Drosophila melanogaster: one gene and its partners. The protein of the gene in region 2 interacts with the protein of the main gene of each other region in a pairwise test. Each region holds a gene or a part of one and is shown on either strand. Other genes may lie near its edges.

Evidence for each region.
Region 1: the proteins of CtBP (region 2) and exd interact in a two-hybrid assay, tested with the Drosophila melanogaster proteins (2 studies listed by BioGRID, with this or other methods).
Region 3: the proteins of CtBP (region 2) and H interact in a two-hybrid assay, tested with the Drosophila melanogaster proteins (5 studies listed by BioGRID).

Annotation. Positions count from the first base shown.
Region 1 is NC_004354.4:15,991,172-15,997,051, reverse strand, and holds exd (extradenticle), read right to left. Parts: upstream 4,353-5,880; 5' UTR 4,128-4,352; intron 4,117-4,127; exon of another isoform or gene 3,939-4,116; intron 3,581-3,938; 5' UTR 3,544-3,580; coding exon 3,279-3,543; intron 3,088-3,278; coding exon 2,769-3,087; intron 2,706-2,768; coding exon 2,447-2,705; intron 2,368-2,446; coding exon 2,080-2,367; 3' UTR 543-2,079; downstream 1-542. UniProt on the Drosophila melanogaster protein: Transcription factor which acts with the selector homeodomain proteins altering the regulation of downstream target genes such as wingless (wg), teashirt (tsh) and decapentaplegic (dpp), thus affecting segmental identity.
Region 2 is NT_033777.3:13,009,657-13,014,652, reverse strand, and holds the start of CtBP (C-terminal binding protein), read right to left. Parts: upstream 3,005-4,996; 5' UTR 2,905-3,004; exon of another isoform or gene 2,481-2,904; intron 1-2,480. Other genes in the region: CG11656 (uncharacterized protein), read right to left, coding at 3,694-4,489, 4,569-4,648; CG8031 (uncharacterized protein), read left to right, coding at 3,473-3,521, 4,883-4,964. UniProt on the Drosophila melanogaster protein: Corepressor targeting diverse transcription regulators. Hairy-interacting protein required for embryonic segmentation and hairy-mediated transcriptional repression.
Region 3 is NT_033777.3:20,620,420-20,627,979, reverse strand, and holds the start of H (hairless), read right to left. Parts: upstream 6,043-7,560; 5' UTR 5,485-6,042; coding exon 5,482-5,484; exon of another isoform or gene 5,397-5,481; coding exon 4,682-5,396; intron 4,610-4,681; coding exon 4,436-4,609; intron 3,850-4,435; coding exon 3,089-3,849; intron 2,939-3,088; coding exon 1,387-2,938; intron 1,221-1,386; coding exon 1,192-1,220; 3' UTR 1-1,191. UniProt on the Drosophila melanogaster protein: Is a potent antagonist of neurogenic gene activity during sensory organ development. The expression of distinct cell fates by the trichogen (shaft) / tormogen (socket) sister cell pair depends on the level of H activity.

The DNA of each region.
Region 1 (5,880 bases), on a different chromosome or scaffold from region 2:
GTTGCCAACAGTGTGGCCGTATTGACAATTCAAAGTATTCCGGGCAGTGCCAGCATGCGCGTCAAGGTAGCGGCGATTGAGTGCTAGATAAGTGGAACGTGTTCTTAAATTGTGGAATGCATTGGGGCAGCGGGTGAATTTTTTTAAAATTTCTACTTTATTATTTATAAATTTAAAATTGGTCGATCAAAGTGATTTATATAAATTACTACACACTTTTGGGAATAACTGTAAGATGTGGGGTGAAGTACATTAAGCCGTAATGAACCATAATAAAAATAAAATACGCCTAAAATTAAAATTTTTTGTCTGTTTTACAGCTGCCAAAAATCTAAAAAATTAAAATTCTTCTGTTTTTATTGACCAACCCCACATAAAAGAATGATTTCTATCTGTGAGCCAGATAGTTTTAATTAAAGAAGAGCAAGTGTATCTACAGATGCTCCATCTCTTTCTATTACGTGTATAGATTATCTGCAAAGGATAACGCCCTTTTCTTTAATACTCCCAAAAAACCATTAATTAATACTTCGTTTTGATTTATTAAGTTATTTGTGTAAAGTTGTGTATTTATATATTTTTCTATTGTTATCCAAAATGTTTAATGCAGTACCTTACTTACTGAAATACATTGAATGGTTTCATTTGACCGTAATGTGAGCGAAAGTCTGTCAAAGACATATGTTATTTATCATTTAAAATTATAATCGTTTTGTATACTTTCAAATAATCTGTTTTCATATCCGTTTTAATTGGGGGCAAAGAGTAGTGTACACTTCTTACTAAGCGAAAGACGAATTTGTTCTTGATTTTATAATGCAATTAAGTTGGGAAGTTCGTTTTTATAGCAAGAAATCCATTAAGATTTAATGTTTAATACTTTTTAGGATGTAAGAAACAAACAATTGTTTTGAGACTTTTAAAATACACGTTAATAAATCTATTAAATGTTATAAGCTGTTAAATAATACAATTCGTCCTTCGATAGAAATGTGACATTTTGTTTATCCAAGACTTTTCTTTTCCGTTTTTACATTCAAAATATTTTTGTAATTAGTTGACGTGTGTGCGGATAACAACAACATGTATTATTTATTTATTTGATATACATCGTATACATGGTTTAGTTTCGTATTTTCGTATTGTTCAAGTTTTTAAAAATTTCGTACAGTTTTAAATTCAGTAAACACTATTTTGCTGTCGTATACGTACTGTAGCCAAAAAAGAATCGTCATAGTATGATTTACATGCAATATTTGTATATACCCGCAAATGTAGGTAAATGTATTAAAATATATTTATACACAGCTGCGGTCAAAATAATAGCTCTGAAACTTGTGCCTCCTCCACTCGTTGTGAAAATATTCGTATACTACCAGTTTAATCGAGTTTCTTTGCATATGTTTTCGATGGTTAATATATAAGCTAAATGGGGCTATGCAGAAAAAGTCACTGCATTGGTTATTAACCCTTTTTAAAGAACGTTGATCAAATTATAATCGCTTAAGCGAATTATTACGTATTTATGTATTTTACAGTTGACATGCCACAAACAACATGCTTTCCATTTCAATTGATTGTGAATTAAAAAAAAAAAGCGAGCAAACTTTTCGTTTTATGTTCGGGCAAAAAATATTCTTAATTAGGCCATTATTCAATTGTCGACTTCTTAATACATCCTGCATGCATATATTGTTAAAAAGCAGGAGACTGTGTCAATTAAAAAACCATATCAGCTTATTTACTTTCTTTTTTGATTTAAGCAGGCAAAGTTTTTTCTGCCAACCAAAATGTAGCAAGCACAAACTAACTATTACGTATTTATATTCTACTCACGTATTTATGTATATCTATCGGAACTATATCTAAATTGATGGGAATTTTAAACTTATCTGACTCGAAACCAAAGGACAGAAAGCTGAATTTAAAAATCCCTTAAGAATTGTTGTTCTTGGCGAAGAAGCAAATATAAGCCGCATAATTATGAAAAAACTGCATGTTAGATTTTTCAGCGCAGTTATTTTGACCGCAACTGTATGAGGGATTCTCCGGACTGGGAGTGGTTCACAGCCCTGATCCTCAGGGGCTTAGATCCTGATGGAGATTTGGGTCGTAGCCGCCCATGCTGTTGTCGTACGGTTGCTGCTGGTCGTATCCGCCGGAGCCCATTGGATAGCCCATGGAATCCTGTGGCGGAGCGGGTGACATCATGGGTGTGGTTGTCCCGCTGGGTGGACCGGCCATGGAATACGGTGAAGCACCAGCCGCCTTCTTGGCCGCATACAAATTGGCCTCCTCCTGTGCCTTACCAATGTTCTTCTTATAGCGAATACGCTTGTTGCCAAACCAATTCGATACTTGCGAGACCTGCATGAGTGTGTTTTGTTTTATTTACTATGCTGCAATCGGATTTGCATTGTTGATTAATGTGCCCTACACTACTTACCGTGATGCCACACTTTCGTGCCAACTCCTCTTTGGCCTCTTCGGATGGATATGGGTTGCTCAAGTGACTGTAGAAGTACTCGTTGAGAATCTCGGATGCCTGCTTGCTGAAATTGCGGCGTTTGCGGCGTGCGTCCAGGAAACGCGAACGAAGTATCATTACAGCCTCGCAGGTCGACTGCTTCAGCTGCATTTGTATGGAACTAAACTTTTTGTGGATGATCTGCACCATTCGCTCGATTTCCTTTGGTGTAATGGGTCTGAAATACGATTATATTACCCAAATGATGGCCATCATTTTGCATTTATCTATATACACCAACCTCGTGCGACTCTGTTCGCGTAGAAGATTCATGACATGCGTGGTGAACTCGTTGCATGCCTGCTCGTACTTCTCCAATTCCTGGTGATATATTTGACGGATCTGTGCCAGCTTGGCACGGTAGTCGGAATGCTCAATGGCATTGTCAGCACCATCGATGGACAGGGAACCGCCCTGGCTGGCCGCAGCCGCAGAGGCAGCCGCTGCTCCGCCACCGCCCTTCTCGGGTCCGGCCACGCCCTCGGCAATCAGCATGTTGTCCAAGCGCATCAGTTGCGGATCTGGGGGCTCCTCCTCCTGGGTGTTGCGAATCGAGAGGACTGTAATAGTTTTAACGAAGAAGACGAATGATAAAAATAATTTCATACTGAACGTTTTAAGACTATTACGTTAAGAATTGTGTTTGATTTAGTAAATCAATTGTATCACAAGCAAATCACAAAATCCATAATACCATTTCAACTTATTTGATGGTCTTGAATGAGAGATAAATATAGGGTTTTAAGCTTACCGGTCTTCTCCTTGATTTCGCAAAGTACAGAGAAAAGTGCCGGCTTCATTCGGTGACAGTTTAGTGTATGTTTTCTGGCCTGGGCCTCGTCAAGTGATTGCTCCGAGATACTCATTATCTGTTGCAATATCTCGCCGATGTCCTTCTGCTTGCGCACCTCGTTCTCGCTGCCGGCATTCTGGCCATCATCCTGGCCAGACAAGCCGTATCCTTGCGGAGCCATCATGCCGCCGGTGTGGGCCAACATGCGATTGGGGTCCTCCATGGTGCCGCAACACAAAGCAAGCTACAAATCCAAGTTTCTGTAATAATATTAAACATCAAATATTAAAATCATGCAAGAAAAAAGGAAATAACCCAATATTTTTTCTACCAATTCGATTTTTTAGTGTTTTATTATTTAATAAATATTTCTTTTTTATATAAAAACATAAGTTTGAAACCCTTAAAAATGTAGTAAAAACTTGAGTTAATGTATACTTAACAAACTGAAAACAAATACACCAATTAAATCTTTTGCTACAAAATTCATCATATCTATAGAAGAGATACCAACAAAGCCATTAAACCCACAAACCCCACCACAAAATAATCCCCCAGACATTTGAGCAAAAGTGAAAAGACATTTTGGTATCCTATTGGAAATGCAATAATCTCCACCTGTCGCAATCTCATGAAGCGGCATATCTTTTTGGGGGTGAAAAAGTATCTCAGATGCGTAGCACGAAGCTGGGCAGTTACCCGAACTATTTATGAACTTATTTCTATTTATTTATTGCTGTGTACCACAGGTAACGTTACATTTTACACATGTACAGATAAATGACGCCGAGTGCATCACATACATACACTTGTACGTATGTTTAGTGCCAGCAGAATGGTAAAAAAAAATCAACCTGCCAAGTTTATATTTACATACACACAAGGTTATGGTTAAGCATTAATTTGAATGCAGTTTGAAAACATTTTGTTGGTTTTACATGTACATTCTTGAGATTTTATTACGTCAGAAAAGATTTAAACTGTTTATAACAAGGTGTATGTACATATCCACACATCGATATATGTGCATGTAAGTATTGAGAAGCGTCCACTTGAAATTCCATACTCACGGTTTTTTATTTATCGTGATTGCCTCGTATACTTATTTGCCGTACAAGTCGTATTTTGTGTTATTTTCACTAAAAATTAGTGACACATTACTTGCAGTTGTAAATAACCGCAAGTATATAATATTATTATCTTTTTTGGACAACAATGAAACGAAAGTACGTTCTGTATACGCAGAAAAATAAATCGATATGAAAAAGTTTTCCAGTACTGTAAGAATATCGATAAGTATTCCATAAAATGCAATTTATATTTGCTAGTGAAAACGTGGACAATCGATATCTTACCCGTAGTTACATTCTAGTGCTTACTCACTGCGAGTTGGGTATCGATACTATTTAAAATGTGGCTCTTGAAATAATATTTTAAACATTTTTTCAATAAAATAAATAAGATATCCTCTACAAAAAATGTGGTATATTGGTATTGGAATATAGAAGAAATACAGATGATCCACTCTTATAACATATATTTTAAAAGGCTGATTGGAACTACGTTTAATTATATAACACATATATTTGTTTCTATTTTAGTCAACTTCATTTTTAAAAATGGTCTTTCGTTTTTAAGCGTATTATTACATATCTTCATTTTAATAAATACCATATAAATTATATAAAAGTGAAAGTGTGAAAAGGCTAAAATTCATTCACATCATATTCGGCCAATCGATAGTGATAGGCTGCAGCCCACTAAAGTCGTTATGGTCATATTGTGCTGTGACGTTTAGTCGTATGTTCGTGGACTTCGGAGAAAATCTTTTCTTAAACGGTTAATTCAGTAAAATTATTAATTTACTTTCATTGTGATCAGAAACGCTTTATAGAAAACTTGTGGAAAAGGTATTGAAAAGTGATTGTGACCAAAACGAACACAACCTCAAAAGTTTAAATGGCGTGGCTTTCATCCATATGTAAATGCATACGTGCATGAAAATGTACATTTATATATATCTATACTAAATAATTCAGTTTTCCACAATTTTTGTAACGTTGGGTCTAGTGTATATCTGCATAAAGCTACTTTACTTCGTGCTTACACAAAAATCACGCTTCAACAGTGTTTTTTATGGCCATTATACAAAAGTACTGAATACATAAGTAATAGGAAAAGATATATATGTAAAATATATATATACTTGAATGTTAAATTAACCTTTTTCCTTCGAAATTATAAGTAAATTTGAGCTAAACTAAAGTAATGTAAGAAATACTTAGTACGGAGTGGTATACATATGTTCGTTCATGCGCATTCCTAATTTTATTTTCTTTCCCTTTGCAGAATAGTTGAGAGACCAAAAATTTCAATTTTTGCGATACATAAGCGCGTTAAAAGCGTTACTAATATTTTTCAATATTAGCACGGAATCAGAGCTATCAAAAAAAAAAAAAGTTATCGATTTCCCGTGGCAGTGCGATTTGTTTGATTTTGATTTATCCATATATATTTTCCAAGTCAATTTGCGATTGACTTCACAAAGAATACCCGAGAG
Region 2 (4,996 bases):
AATCAAATGAAATACAATTTATATATATATATATATGTATATATTATTGCCTCGCACGCTTACGAATTGCTGATTCTGCGTTTTGCGGCTGCTTGGCTATTTCTATTTATTATTGTTGCCATATCGCTGCATCTGTTGTTTTGGACGAATTTGGCTGAGCCATCTGAAAGTGTGTGTTTTCTGTTTTCATTTGAAAAGTGCTTGCGCAGGAGTATAGCAGATATGGCGAAAGGTTTGCCATCAAACATGCAACGATTAGCTGGCCAAAATACATCTTTCCACCGCTGAATAGATGAAAGACATCCGAATTTGTAAACTATCATTCATTTTCAACAAATTTATAACTTGGACAATTTAGCTTTAAGGGTATTAGAGCCTGTACCATCAACCGAATTGCGTTGTATTTGCCTTTCAGATCGATAGAGATAGAGCGCAGAAAAAAAATACAAGAATATGAGGCACACATGGCTGCCATTGTGTTTCTGGTCGAATTTTAGTTCCTCGGACTTTTGTGTTTAAATTTAAACGTTTGCCTGCTATTTTGGTGGCTGCTTTCGCTTTGTTTTGCGCCCCGTGCACCACCAAGTGTGAAATTCTTTGGGCAGGTGTGCATTTTTTCACGCGCGCAGTCGGCGGCAAACACACAACAACAAACATTGCGCAAAAACACAGAGCATCAAACGGATTGGGGGGGGGGGTCGTACGAGGCGTGGCAGTGGGCGGCATCGCCTGGCATTGACAATAAATAACCGTTAGCTAGTGGGAGTGGGCAGCCCATACACAATCAAATTTATTATTTGCCAAAAAAGGGCAGTGACAAGAAGCGGAAAACGTTGTTGCGCCAAAAAAACTAGTAACAACAAATTCAGCAACATGTACAGTTATCGATGGACTATATATATAGAAAATTCCATGGCAATGCAAATATTGAAGTGGAAACGGGAAAAGCGGCTCTCTCTGCCACATATTTCCATATTTCTATTTATTCTATAGCGAAAACTACATTGGGTAGGAAGAATTCTTAACGACTGCAATACAAATTCAGTGGCTAATAACTATAAATTTAAGTGTTTTTATAAAGCAAATTCCTCAGCATTTCATTTTTGCCCAATGACGAACAATTAGCCAAAAATTTCATAACCGCAATTAACTTTAACTTTAAGGCAATCAATAATTTCAATTGTGCCTGCTGCTTTTAAGGGTTTGTAATCAGTCTAGATACCCCAAAAGTGCGCAAAAAGTTGCGGGGAATACAACAAATGACTAAACAACTAACAGTCGCTATAATTTGAACTCTTTATGTGGCAGAAGTTTGTCTGTATTTCCGTTTTTGGGCAAAAACAAAAACACCATTTGTAATCCTCTTCGGAGTTTTGAGCACTGCGAGCAATACCAACAACATTCCCGTTGCAAGTGCGGCAGTATGTGGCTGGGAGGGGAGAGGTTTAGGGAGGGGGGAGCCCAGAGTTGCTTGTCTGTCTGCCTCTTCATGTGTGCGTGTGTGTGTGTGTATGACGTATACGTTTGTATGTGTGTGATGGGTACAGGCACGTCGAACAGTGAAAGGGCGAACGAACAAGAGAGAAGAGAGAGAGCGATAGAGATAGAAGAAGCTATGACAAAAACACGACAAGCGCAAAAATTGTAAGAAAACTAGAAACAAGCATCAATTTGAATGGACATTCGTAAGTTGATCAAACTTTTTCACTTGGTTGTGTATTCAAATCGGCATAAACACACACAAACAAACAATCGCAACGGTTGTTGAGTAAGTGTGTGCGCTTGTAATTTGCAATCAATATGCGGGCGCAGGAAATAAAAGCTATTTATACTTTTAAAGCTTTAGTTCGCGAAGAAGAAACGATAAGCAGCACTTTCACCCTTTAAAGGCTTTTAATCCGAGCGAAAGAACGAAAACTCCCGGTTGAAATGTGTCAACATGAGGCTTTAGTTGGTTTTCAAACTCGTTGCTTTTGGCCTCTCCCTCCCACCCTTTCTCTTGCACTCGCGCTAGCTCGCTCTTTCTCTCTCTGTCGCACCAAATGTGGCGGCGGCAAAACAACAACGATGAGACAGCATGTTGCAGTGGCGTGGGCAAAAGGGGGGTGCTTGAGAAAAGGGGGACGTTGCGCAGTGAACCTTGCGTGTGTATTGTCACTAGGCGGGCGGAAAAAAATATAAATTACAAAGAGAGTGTATGTATCTGTGGCTGTGTGCGTGTGCGGGGAAATTATTGCACAATTTTATTTATGTTTTGCATAGAATATGGCAGGCATTGCTCTCTCTCTCTCTCTCTCACTCACTCACACACGCACTCACTCGACTTTTGCATTAAACCGCAACAATACTTGGTCATGTGTGTGTGCGTACCCACACACGCACACCCGCATCACCTATACAGGCAATAGCAGTTCCGCTTTAAAATTCATCAGAATTCTGCACGTTTAAATTTTTCTTGTACACGTTTATCGCACACTCACACACACGCACGCACACAGGCACAGGCGCACACTCGTTGCAAACGGAAAGGCAAATGGGAAATATATGGTGTAGTAATCCGTGGAAAAATCGCCGCTGCCGCGGATTTTCGATTGTGGTATTATTAAATAGCTGAAACGCAATCAGCGGCGCACAATTTGATTTTCAGCTCTCGTTTTCGCCTTTTTTTCTCTCGCTTATTCGCCTATTCCTTTGTGGCGGCGGCGACGGCGGCGTCGGTTTTCTTCTCTCTTTTCTTTTTCTTTTTTTGCGAGTTCACAATTGGGCAAGAAATTCACGTGCCAAAAACGCGGCCACACACAATTTTCGGGGACAAACACTTGGCGGCGGGTCTCATGCACCGTTGCCGACCACTTTTCACAAATTTTATGCACTTTTTGGGCAGTTTTCCCACAATTAATTTACCAGCAACGCGTCCAAATTCCACTCGCAGCTTTCAAAATGGCGGAATACGAACACGGCGGATTTTTAGGTTTTAGTACAGCAATGACGCTATGCGAACAGTGTGACCGCACACGGGTCGTTCGAAAATACCTCGGTGCGCGCAGGCAAACTGCAAGAATTATGGTATAGTTTGAAATGTTGGTATTGCAGAATTCCGACTTTCGACTTCCGTGAGTTTCAGTTGTATATGTTATGCGATTTCATTTATGGAAATTAATAAAAAACAACACTTAAATAAAATTACGTTACCTTATGTATTGTATTTTATTTGTGTGATTTATTATTTAGAATAATAAAAAAGTATTAATGGTATATATGATTATACCAAAAAAAAAACGATATTTAAGTACTTAATGCAGCCCTGAAGAAGTGTGACCGCTGATCAGCGAATCCAGAGAACGTGTTTATTTCAAAAACAAGACGACGGTCACACTGCTGTACCAATAACAAAGAACTCGTTTTTTCTACAAGTAACGGCCAGTTAATAGCTCTTACTAACTAAACAGACCGATTAGGGATCTCGCACAAAATGTCGGCCAGAAGAGCAACCCATGCAGGCAGCTGGTACACGGACTCGGGTGAGTAACAACCCAGCTGCGGCCCAGAAGATAACACAATCAATTATTGCATCGCCTATGGGTGTGGGATAAACGCATATGTATTGCACCTGTGCGTGTTTGCCTGTGTGTGTGTTTGTGTGCGGGTAATGAACCTTAGGGTGAACCAAAAATGTAACTACAGGTCACCAATTCAGAAGTTCTTTTCCGGATCCGAGCCAACCGCATTGCGAATCTCGTCCATGCGATCGTATGCGATTTCGGTGGCCCAGCACAGACGCTTCTCCAGCTCGCTGTTGCGCCGCCGCTGCTGACGCAGTGCATCCAGTCCGCGTTCCAACTGAGTGCATGCCTGGAAGAAGGTGCTCAGCTCGGGTATGTCGCCGAATTCGCCGGGATGCCGACGGAATCCCTGCGTGGCGTCCGTGGATAGCTTGTCCAGGCGATTTTGCAGGAAACGCTGGTCGAACATCATCTGAAGCTCTGCAGTCGTCGCTTTGCCCAACTCGTTGTTGGATTCGTTTAGGTGCAGGTCCCGTATGCGGTCCTTCAAGCCCGTGAAGCTAACCGACTCCAATTTCTCGCCAATGCCCTGGAAGAGTTCGTAGCTCTGCTTGAGCTCCAGCTGCATCTTCCGGACATCTTCGTCGATGCTTTTGGCCGCTTGCGATTCAAGGAAGTCGGCACGGGCACTGGCCTCCACGGGCGGAGCGTCATATCCTGATCTTAGCGAATAGCTCGAGGATGTGGAGACCGGATCCGATGGCTTCTCCTGGGCTCCACCTCCAGTTAAACGATCTTCAGATGATCTGGTACCCGACGACGAACTCTTTGTACTGCCAGCGGACGAGGAGGAGGCCTTACTATTGTTCTTCTTGGAACTCCTCGATTTTGCTTTCCTTGTTTTCCTTATGGGCCCGAAAATGGGCAGCGGATTGGGACTCAGGAGCAGTTCCTGTGACGCCTCCTTGTCGGAATCATCAGCAGCCCTGTTGTAGGATTATAAATGGATTGATTTTTTTCTTCTTTTATATATATATATATATATTGGGTAACTTGATAACTTACTCTTGAGATAATATAGCTGTAAGCTCGTTCCGAATGCGATTCATGAGCTCATCGCTTTGTTTTTCCTTATCAGTTTCCATCGCGGAATGTTCAACTAAAATTTAAATCAATATTTAATAACTTTATATCGCTGCTGTGATAAGTCTCGATTTAGTGAAAGTCTTATAAACCAGGAAATATTTGTTTGTTTGCTGCTAGGCAACGACTGGCCAACTATTTTCGTTGATTTCGAAACTGAAACCAATTCCTGAGCAGGGAATTATGGTTTACGATATTATTTATTCGTTAATAAATGTATTTACTTTGCTTTTCAGGCGCCGAGCTCTCGAGACAGTTGGATCGTTGGCTGGGTGCCGCAGATTTGTCCCATGGACCGGCTCGTGCCATCATTGCTCCGTAAGATTTAACCGAATTCTTGCAATAAGCAC
Region 3 (7,560 bases), 7.6 Mb from region 2:
TTTTGCGTTAGGAATATGTTTTTTATTTGTATCAGTTTCAGTTGTACGAGTTCCGGTTTGAAATTGTCTGCTTAGGATCTTTTTGCTTTCCGTTTCTTGTAAATTTGTCGTATATGTGGATTTTTTGTACATTTTATTTGTTTTTGATTGGACAGCCACTGACAGCGAATGTGCACTAGGCACAGTTATATAATATTTTTGATGGTGACAACAATCGTGGAGGTTAAATTTAGATCCGCCGAGGATTTAAATTCAAACTTCAACAATTTTTTCGAATTTTAGTTTTTACAGTCTACCAAAAAATGTAAGACCAAAGAGTAATCTCTTTCGTTTTGAAGTACAGACGAGTTGTATAGTTTTGGATTGCTTTTATCTTTTAACTATTTTAGAATAATTATTCCGAAATAATTAAAAGATACATTTTTAAAAGTACTTAAAAAGTTGGTGTCGTATACAATCTGCTTAGTGCAAATTCCTGTCAACTGCATTTTGGACCACGATATCAAGAAATTCTAAAGTTTTCACCATAGAATACCTGCACATGCTTGCACATAAATGTTTTTATAGTAAACTTCTTTTTCTTTTTAATATTAATTTTTGTATCCCTAGTTCTGTTTCCATTTTTAAAGGCACAAGCATTTTATAAAAATCTGTTCTTGTAGTTTTGTTAAATATACTTTAAAATGTTATATTTTGCGATTCGTAACTAAGTTTTTCATTTTTTTTTTCTAAAAAAATTCAGGTTCAGTCTGTTTCAAGGAAATGTTTTGATGAAAAAAACGTAACTCTTTTTTGAGATTCTTTAAGACTTGCATTTTATACATCCTATAGAAAATGTTTTTATTAGTATTTCTTTCCATTAGTCGGCATAGAATAAAATTCCTTTGCATATTTTATTCAGTTTGTCGAAAATAAAATTTCTCAACTGATTGTATAAAGAGTTCTGGAACGGGTTTAAAAACAAAGTTGAGTTTTTCATCTCTTTTTGTATGCGATTTCTAAATGTTCGGCCCTAATTGAGAACCTAGGATTAGGCTTAGGATTAAACAATCGGGTTACAACTAAACTATCAGCGAACTTATCAAATTATATTACGTGTATTGAATGTCGTCTTAAGCGCTACTAGTGCGAAAATGTTCTTAACTCGAATGGTTGGCCCAGAAACTGGGGCAGCTGGGGCGTGTGTATGTCTCAGTGCTTTGACAGATTCAGTGGTAAGTCTAAGGAAGAAATAAATAAGAAACGTTATTAAATTGTGTTTTACGTGCATTAAATTGACAACATAATAAATGGATCTGTAATATATTTTCTTCAGACATTCCCAGAGGAATGAAAATTGAATCATCAAACTGCTTGCCATTATTGGTGCACTGATTGAATGCTTACCTGAACTTTGTTCATTCCTTAGACTACTAGTATGAAACATTGCGGAGGAGCTGGCGCCCGAAGTGGCCGCCGAGGAGGAGGCCGATGCGCTCGAGCTGCTCGGCGAAGTGGAGGCTGTGCGATGACTGGACGTTGCAGACATTTGGTCGGTACTACTATCAGTCAGTTTTGGCGTGGCCAGGTGAGCGGGAGAGTGGTGGGTGGTCAGTGCAGCCGGGTGCGGATGCTGGTGCGGATGGGCCAAGTGCGGATGCGTGTGGGGACTGGGCGCCGGTTGTCCAAAGGCTGCCGCAGCTGCTGCAGCGGCAACAGCCGCTCCCACTCCGTTATACGCGAACGCGTGATAGGCCGATTGGGGCGATAATCTCGCAGCAGCAGCTGCAGCAGCGGCGGCCGCTGAGCCACCGGGTTGTGGATGTGGCGACAGCAGGGGCGACGCTCCTGTCTGATAGTGGTGCATCCACAGCGGATTGTGCCTCAACGCCGCCAGTGTGGATATGTACGGGTTGTATATCGAAGGCGAGGGAATGTATGCGGCTGCGGCCGCTGCTGCCGCCGCTACTGCAGCTGCACTGCTGTTCGACGTGGGCGGCGCCGAGGTCGGACTTCCGGCCGAGCCGTTCCCGTTCACCTGGGGCGGTGGCGGGTACATATAGTAGTGCAGCGGCGAGCTACGCTGTAGGTGCGGCTGCTGCTGCATGTGCCGCCGTTCCGGGGGCGATGCACTCCGGTCGCCGGGCGAGGGACAGCTACTGCTGCTGGCCGACGGTGAAGCGAACTCGCGTCGGATCGATGCAGTCTTTTTGGGCACAGTACGCGGCGTCGTGGCTGGCGATGCTGGGGAAGAGCGCGGTGGCGACAGGTCCTGCGATGCTGAGCCCGATGTGGAAGGACGACCTGCTCCCGCATAGGGATCCCTGTAGAAGGAGTGGCCATAGTCTACGGGTGATCCCGCCGAGTACGGTGGCGAACGCTTCTTGGTTCCTGTATGCGAGGGCGATTTTCCGCCCCCGCCATTGCTGCCACTCACATCGGGCGACTTTGGCGAGGTGAGCAGGGCGCGTGGATAGCTCGAGGAACTGGGTTGGTACATTGAGTGCTGTGGATGGTGCACATTGCTGATAATAGCTGCCGGGTGATCGCCGCACTTCTTGCCAGAGGAGGAGAAGGATGAGCTACCGCTGCCACTGCTCCCACCTAGCAGGGAGTGGATACTGTAAGAGCTGTTGAGCCGCGTTGGCTGCGTTGACAAGGTCGCTGGCGAAGTGCTGGATGAGCTGGAGCCGGGACTGGGGCTTGGCTTTCCTTGGGGTGGCGCCAAGTTCATTGGTGACGCCTTGCCAGCCGGAGACGATGTCGAAGTTCCCTTTGCTCGACTCCGTTTTCCTCCAGCACCACCGCTACTAGCTCCACCGCTGCCGTTGTTTACGCATCCGTTGTCCTCTAGCGACACCTTTTCGAACTCGCGCAGGATTCTTTTCCTGGGCGACACGTGCTGGGTGTGGTACTCGACTAGTCGTCCGGCTGCTGTCGCAGAAGAGGGTGGAGAAACCTAAAAGAAGATATTTAAGTGGTCAATTCAAAGTTTTTTCTTTATGAAAGTCCCTAACTAGATTTACAACTTTAACATAATAAAAATGTTGCAGTACATGATTAACATTTGAAACCGCAGCTTATGCAGGTTGTGCCAAGTAAAACTTACTTTGTGCGTCAAGGCGTGACTTAGACCGCCACCAATGCGATCTGAAGACGTCGTTGTCGATGCGATCACAGCTGATGTCTTCGACATTTGCTCAAGCCGTGCTGGTACGCTATCGATGAGTTTCTGAATGATGCTGCTGAGCTTGGCTTTTGGCTTCGGCTTGGATTTTGGTTTCCCAATGCTCGCCTTTAGATCGCCGTTTAGATCACCATTTACGGCATTCGTGATTCTGGGCAGCTCTGTCATGGGTTCCTCATCCTCGCTCGTATTCATCTTCATCTCAACATCAACAGTCTCATCTTTTGGTTGTGGTTCCACTTGCTGACCGGGCGATGCTTCTTTTGACTCGCTATCATCGCTAACCGCCTTCTTCGGCTCCTTTTCGAGCCGTTCAGCATCATCCTCGCCTTTGATCGTGTCCGGTTTTTCAATTTTAATCTCATTTGTGGTTGTGTCCGCCACAGCAACATTTTCAATTTCAACGGCCTCTGCAGCTTCTGCTTTAAGAGTATCGTCTCCATTTTCCGCCTTGATTGCCGTCGCAAAAATGGGCTGCTGATCCTCGCTGGTGGTAAGCGGCTCGTGGGGGCGCCGTCGTTTGCGAGCGGCTGTCCGGAGAGCAGCTCGGCCAAGCGTACTGTTCCTGGGGCGGTGGAAGAAGAGCGACAGCTCCTTAGATATGCCGCGCCTGGGTCGGGACTGTTTCCAGGGCTGGTCTCGCTGCCAAGGAGAGGATTGTATCGAGCTGTTGTCGTCCGAAACTGCAATGAAGAGGAATATTAACGCAAGGTATACATAGACAAATTGTAGTAGTTAATTATAGTTTGGCATAAATAAATATTTGCTTTTGTTTGATTCAGATTGTTAACAATTTATGAAATAGGATTTAAATGTATACAAGGATGGGAGGACATTATATTTTATAGGATCGAATTGGAAAACTGTCATACAAAGAACATGACCGATTCTGAACAGTTTGGTTTTTTCTTACTATTTCATTAAAACGTTTGACATTTTCGTAGATTTTAAATATAATATTAGAGATGGCCGATATATACAGTTTTAAAATAGATCAGAGATTTGAACATAGGTGCGGTCGTTTTTTACAGATTTTTTGTTTTCGAAATTGGACTTTATCCTCTACGTGCCATTAGAACAATTTAAGTCAAATAGGCACATGTTTTTTATAACTGCAAGTGTTTGTAAGCTTTGACCGCTCGGATTAAGCTAGCTATCTACACATGTTTCAAAATCCAATTCCTTTTACTCAAATCTGATTCCAATCGGGTCAAGTAATTAAATGGAAGGGGTAATCCGTTGGGAACTACTATGCCATGTGTTACGTACAGCTCAGCGATGTGGAATTCTCGTTCTTTGGATACGCTGTGGTCACCGCCGACGTTGGGGTCACAGTTGCGGAGGTGGCCGCCGATGGAGGGCGGAAGGTCTTGCGCGTGACCGAAACCCAGCCGCTTTTATCGCCATCCTTGGACCGCGCCAGTTCCAATATGAATTTGCCATCTACGCAGAATAGTTAAAAAATGGTTTTCTTTACACTGCTCTGATTCGGTATAAATAAACCAAGATACTTACCTTTAAAGAACTGCAAACGACCACCGTAGCCGCCCCAGCTGTTGTTGCCGTGCGTCGATATTGGTGTCCTGCCCATATCAAAGCTTCCGCCGGAGTTGCTTCCCTTGCCGATCTTCGCTGTTCCCGCTGCCGCCGCTACTACTGCAGTGGTGGGCAGTGAGCCTGTTGCAGCTCCGCCCAAGGAACTGTAGTCCAGGACGCCCCCCAGGACATCGATGGTGGGCTTGGACGCAGTAGCTCCAACGACGCTGGCTGCCACTGCGGCGGACGCAGCCATAATGCTACTACTTTTGGGCGTCTTGGCATGCGGCAAAAAGCCATTTGAGGCGGTGGAGCTGGAGGATGAGGGCGTTGTCGTTGTCGTGGGCGTGGTCGTCCTGCTTAAGTTGGCGGGCAGAGGCGGTGGCAGAGGGGGGTAGCTGGTGCTGCTACTGCCGTTTAGGCCATTTTTCAGTAGAAACTTGGCGGCCGCCTCTGCAATTATGCTACTAGTATTGTTGTTGCTGTGGCTGCTCTCGTTGCTGGTGTTGTTGTTTTTGCTGTTGCTGCTACTTGCTGCGTCGTCGTTGCTGTTGTTGTCGTTATTGCTGCTGCTGCCGTTGTTGTTGTTGTTGCTGGAGTGACTGCTGTTACTGTTAATGTTACTTTTATGCTCATCGGTCATTGTTGTCTGTCTGTTGCACTCTGCTACGCTTGTGACGTCATTAAGCAGGGCCTTCAAAGAGAAACATTCGTTTGCATTGGGCAAGTTAGGCACAATTTCGCATTTCCAAACCGCATTATATGGACAATTTAAATACCATTTAATTCATTGTTTTTGTTGTAAATTCCTCGCGCAAAGTTCGCGGCCGGGAAAAACGGAGCCGACGGCGTCGCTAAGCAAAATATGCCAGCTCGGCACGGCGTTAGGAGCGTCTAGCACCATTTTCATGTTTTGGGGCACGGTACCGTTCCCTATTTTTATTGCACACACATATTCTTATTGCATTTTGGCCATTGGCCCATTCCACTGTACGTTATTTAACCAATTTCACAGGCACACACGGCGGGCCGTTCTGCTTATATGTGTTTCTTACAGGCCCAAATGTTAAGCGGAGGCAGCGCACAAAGAGAGCACAAAACGAAGTGCGGACAAGGTGGAGATAAAATGGAAAAAACGTTCTCCAATTACCGTCAGCGTATATATCGATTGCCGAATAGTGTGTGAAAGCGGAGGTCGGTGGACCGGACCGATAATTCCGTGGTCAGCGGGCAGTTGGGGGCAGCTCTATTTCCAACCAATAAACTAATAAATAAATTTAAAAATTATCAACGAAAAACGCAGCTCGGTGCGCTGTGTGACCGTCAACTAAGAACGTCAAAATCCACGGCGCCAGTCAGCATGCTAGCAAATATCATGTTTCCACTGGCCAATGTTATAGTGCTGCATTCGCTGCACGTTCACATTAATGTTATCTCAATGTAAGCTTACACACAGGTCGCTGCAAAAAGCTAGTGCAAGGAACTCCCAAAATAAAATGCTTAATAATAAAAAGAATTGTGTTCTTTGAACTACATCTATTTGGTAAAAATCCTAAATCCTATATTTTTACAATTCAAGTCAAATAAGATTACGAATTCTGGCAATTAGCGATAGTTATCAATGCTTAAAAGCACAATCTTTAGCGAACGATTTTTAAAATAGTAACGGTTTTAAATATGAAATAAAATAAACAACTAAAATCACAATCGGGACAGTTTATAAAACGTAATAAATGGTCGCTTTTTATAGCAATTGTTCAACTCAACTTTAATTTCAGGATTGAAATTGGAAAACTTTGCAACCGAAAACATGCTTTTAAAAATGTTTGATTAAAACAATGTTGTATTTTCACTAATTTATGCTGTTTCCAAAATATATTAATTAAATTTCTAGCACCTGAGATTATTAATTTGGAATACCTGTAGGGTTTTAAAGATTTTCAAGGCGAAAGTTTAAGGATATGACTTAAAGCAGTTAATAATGTTACATTGAAAAGTTCTTCTTTGTCGTAGAATAAAATATTTATTTATTATTAAGTCCAGAAGTTAAACATTAAGCGATAATATGGTATGTTACGATAAATTCCCACACATCAGCTAGGTAAATACTTATGGTTGCAGGTGTCTTTTTATTGCGTATAATACTGTTTGCTCGTTTATCGAATTTCTGGTAATGGTGAGCTCGGGCGGGTTAAAATATATATTTAAATAGCCCTTGCATGCGGAGTACAACCCTTCTTCAGCTTCTTAAATTTAAACACAACTCGTAATGTCGCTTTCGCCACCGCGGCCATCCGCCAATTGTTATTCAGATACTCTGAAGTCCTAATGCAAAATATAATGTAAGTCTTACGCGTCTATCATGTCCGATTATCAGTAGGTTAGTTTAAGTATAGGCTACATTCGAGTTGCTTTTGATATGGGCGAAAAGTCGTCGATTGCACGAGAACGGCTAAGAATATATGCTTAGTAGATATTGCACAAAGTAAAAAGTAAGACATTACAACAGAGGGCACACAACGTAATAAATTAAATTTAGTTTTGTCTTCCGTTTGCCAACATAATTCAAATATCACAGACGTTTTGCCAATTGTTTAACTAATTTGCCGATTTGCTTCATAATTTTGCATGCCAAACTGGAAAACAAAGAGTGATGGGAATCAAATTCAAGCCGCGGGATTCGATACATATGTATGCCTAAAGGTCAGTCAAATGTGGAAAATGTGAAATCAAGTCTTGTGTTGAACATGGCACGTAATTGCTAAAAGGAAAACTGGAGCCACGCCTACGAGGGTAAATTGCTATGCCTATCATCTATGCTTTTCTCTGCGTGTAAGTACTAAGTGTTCTCTAACTGC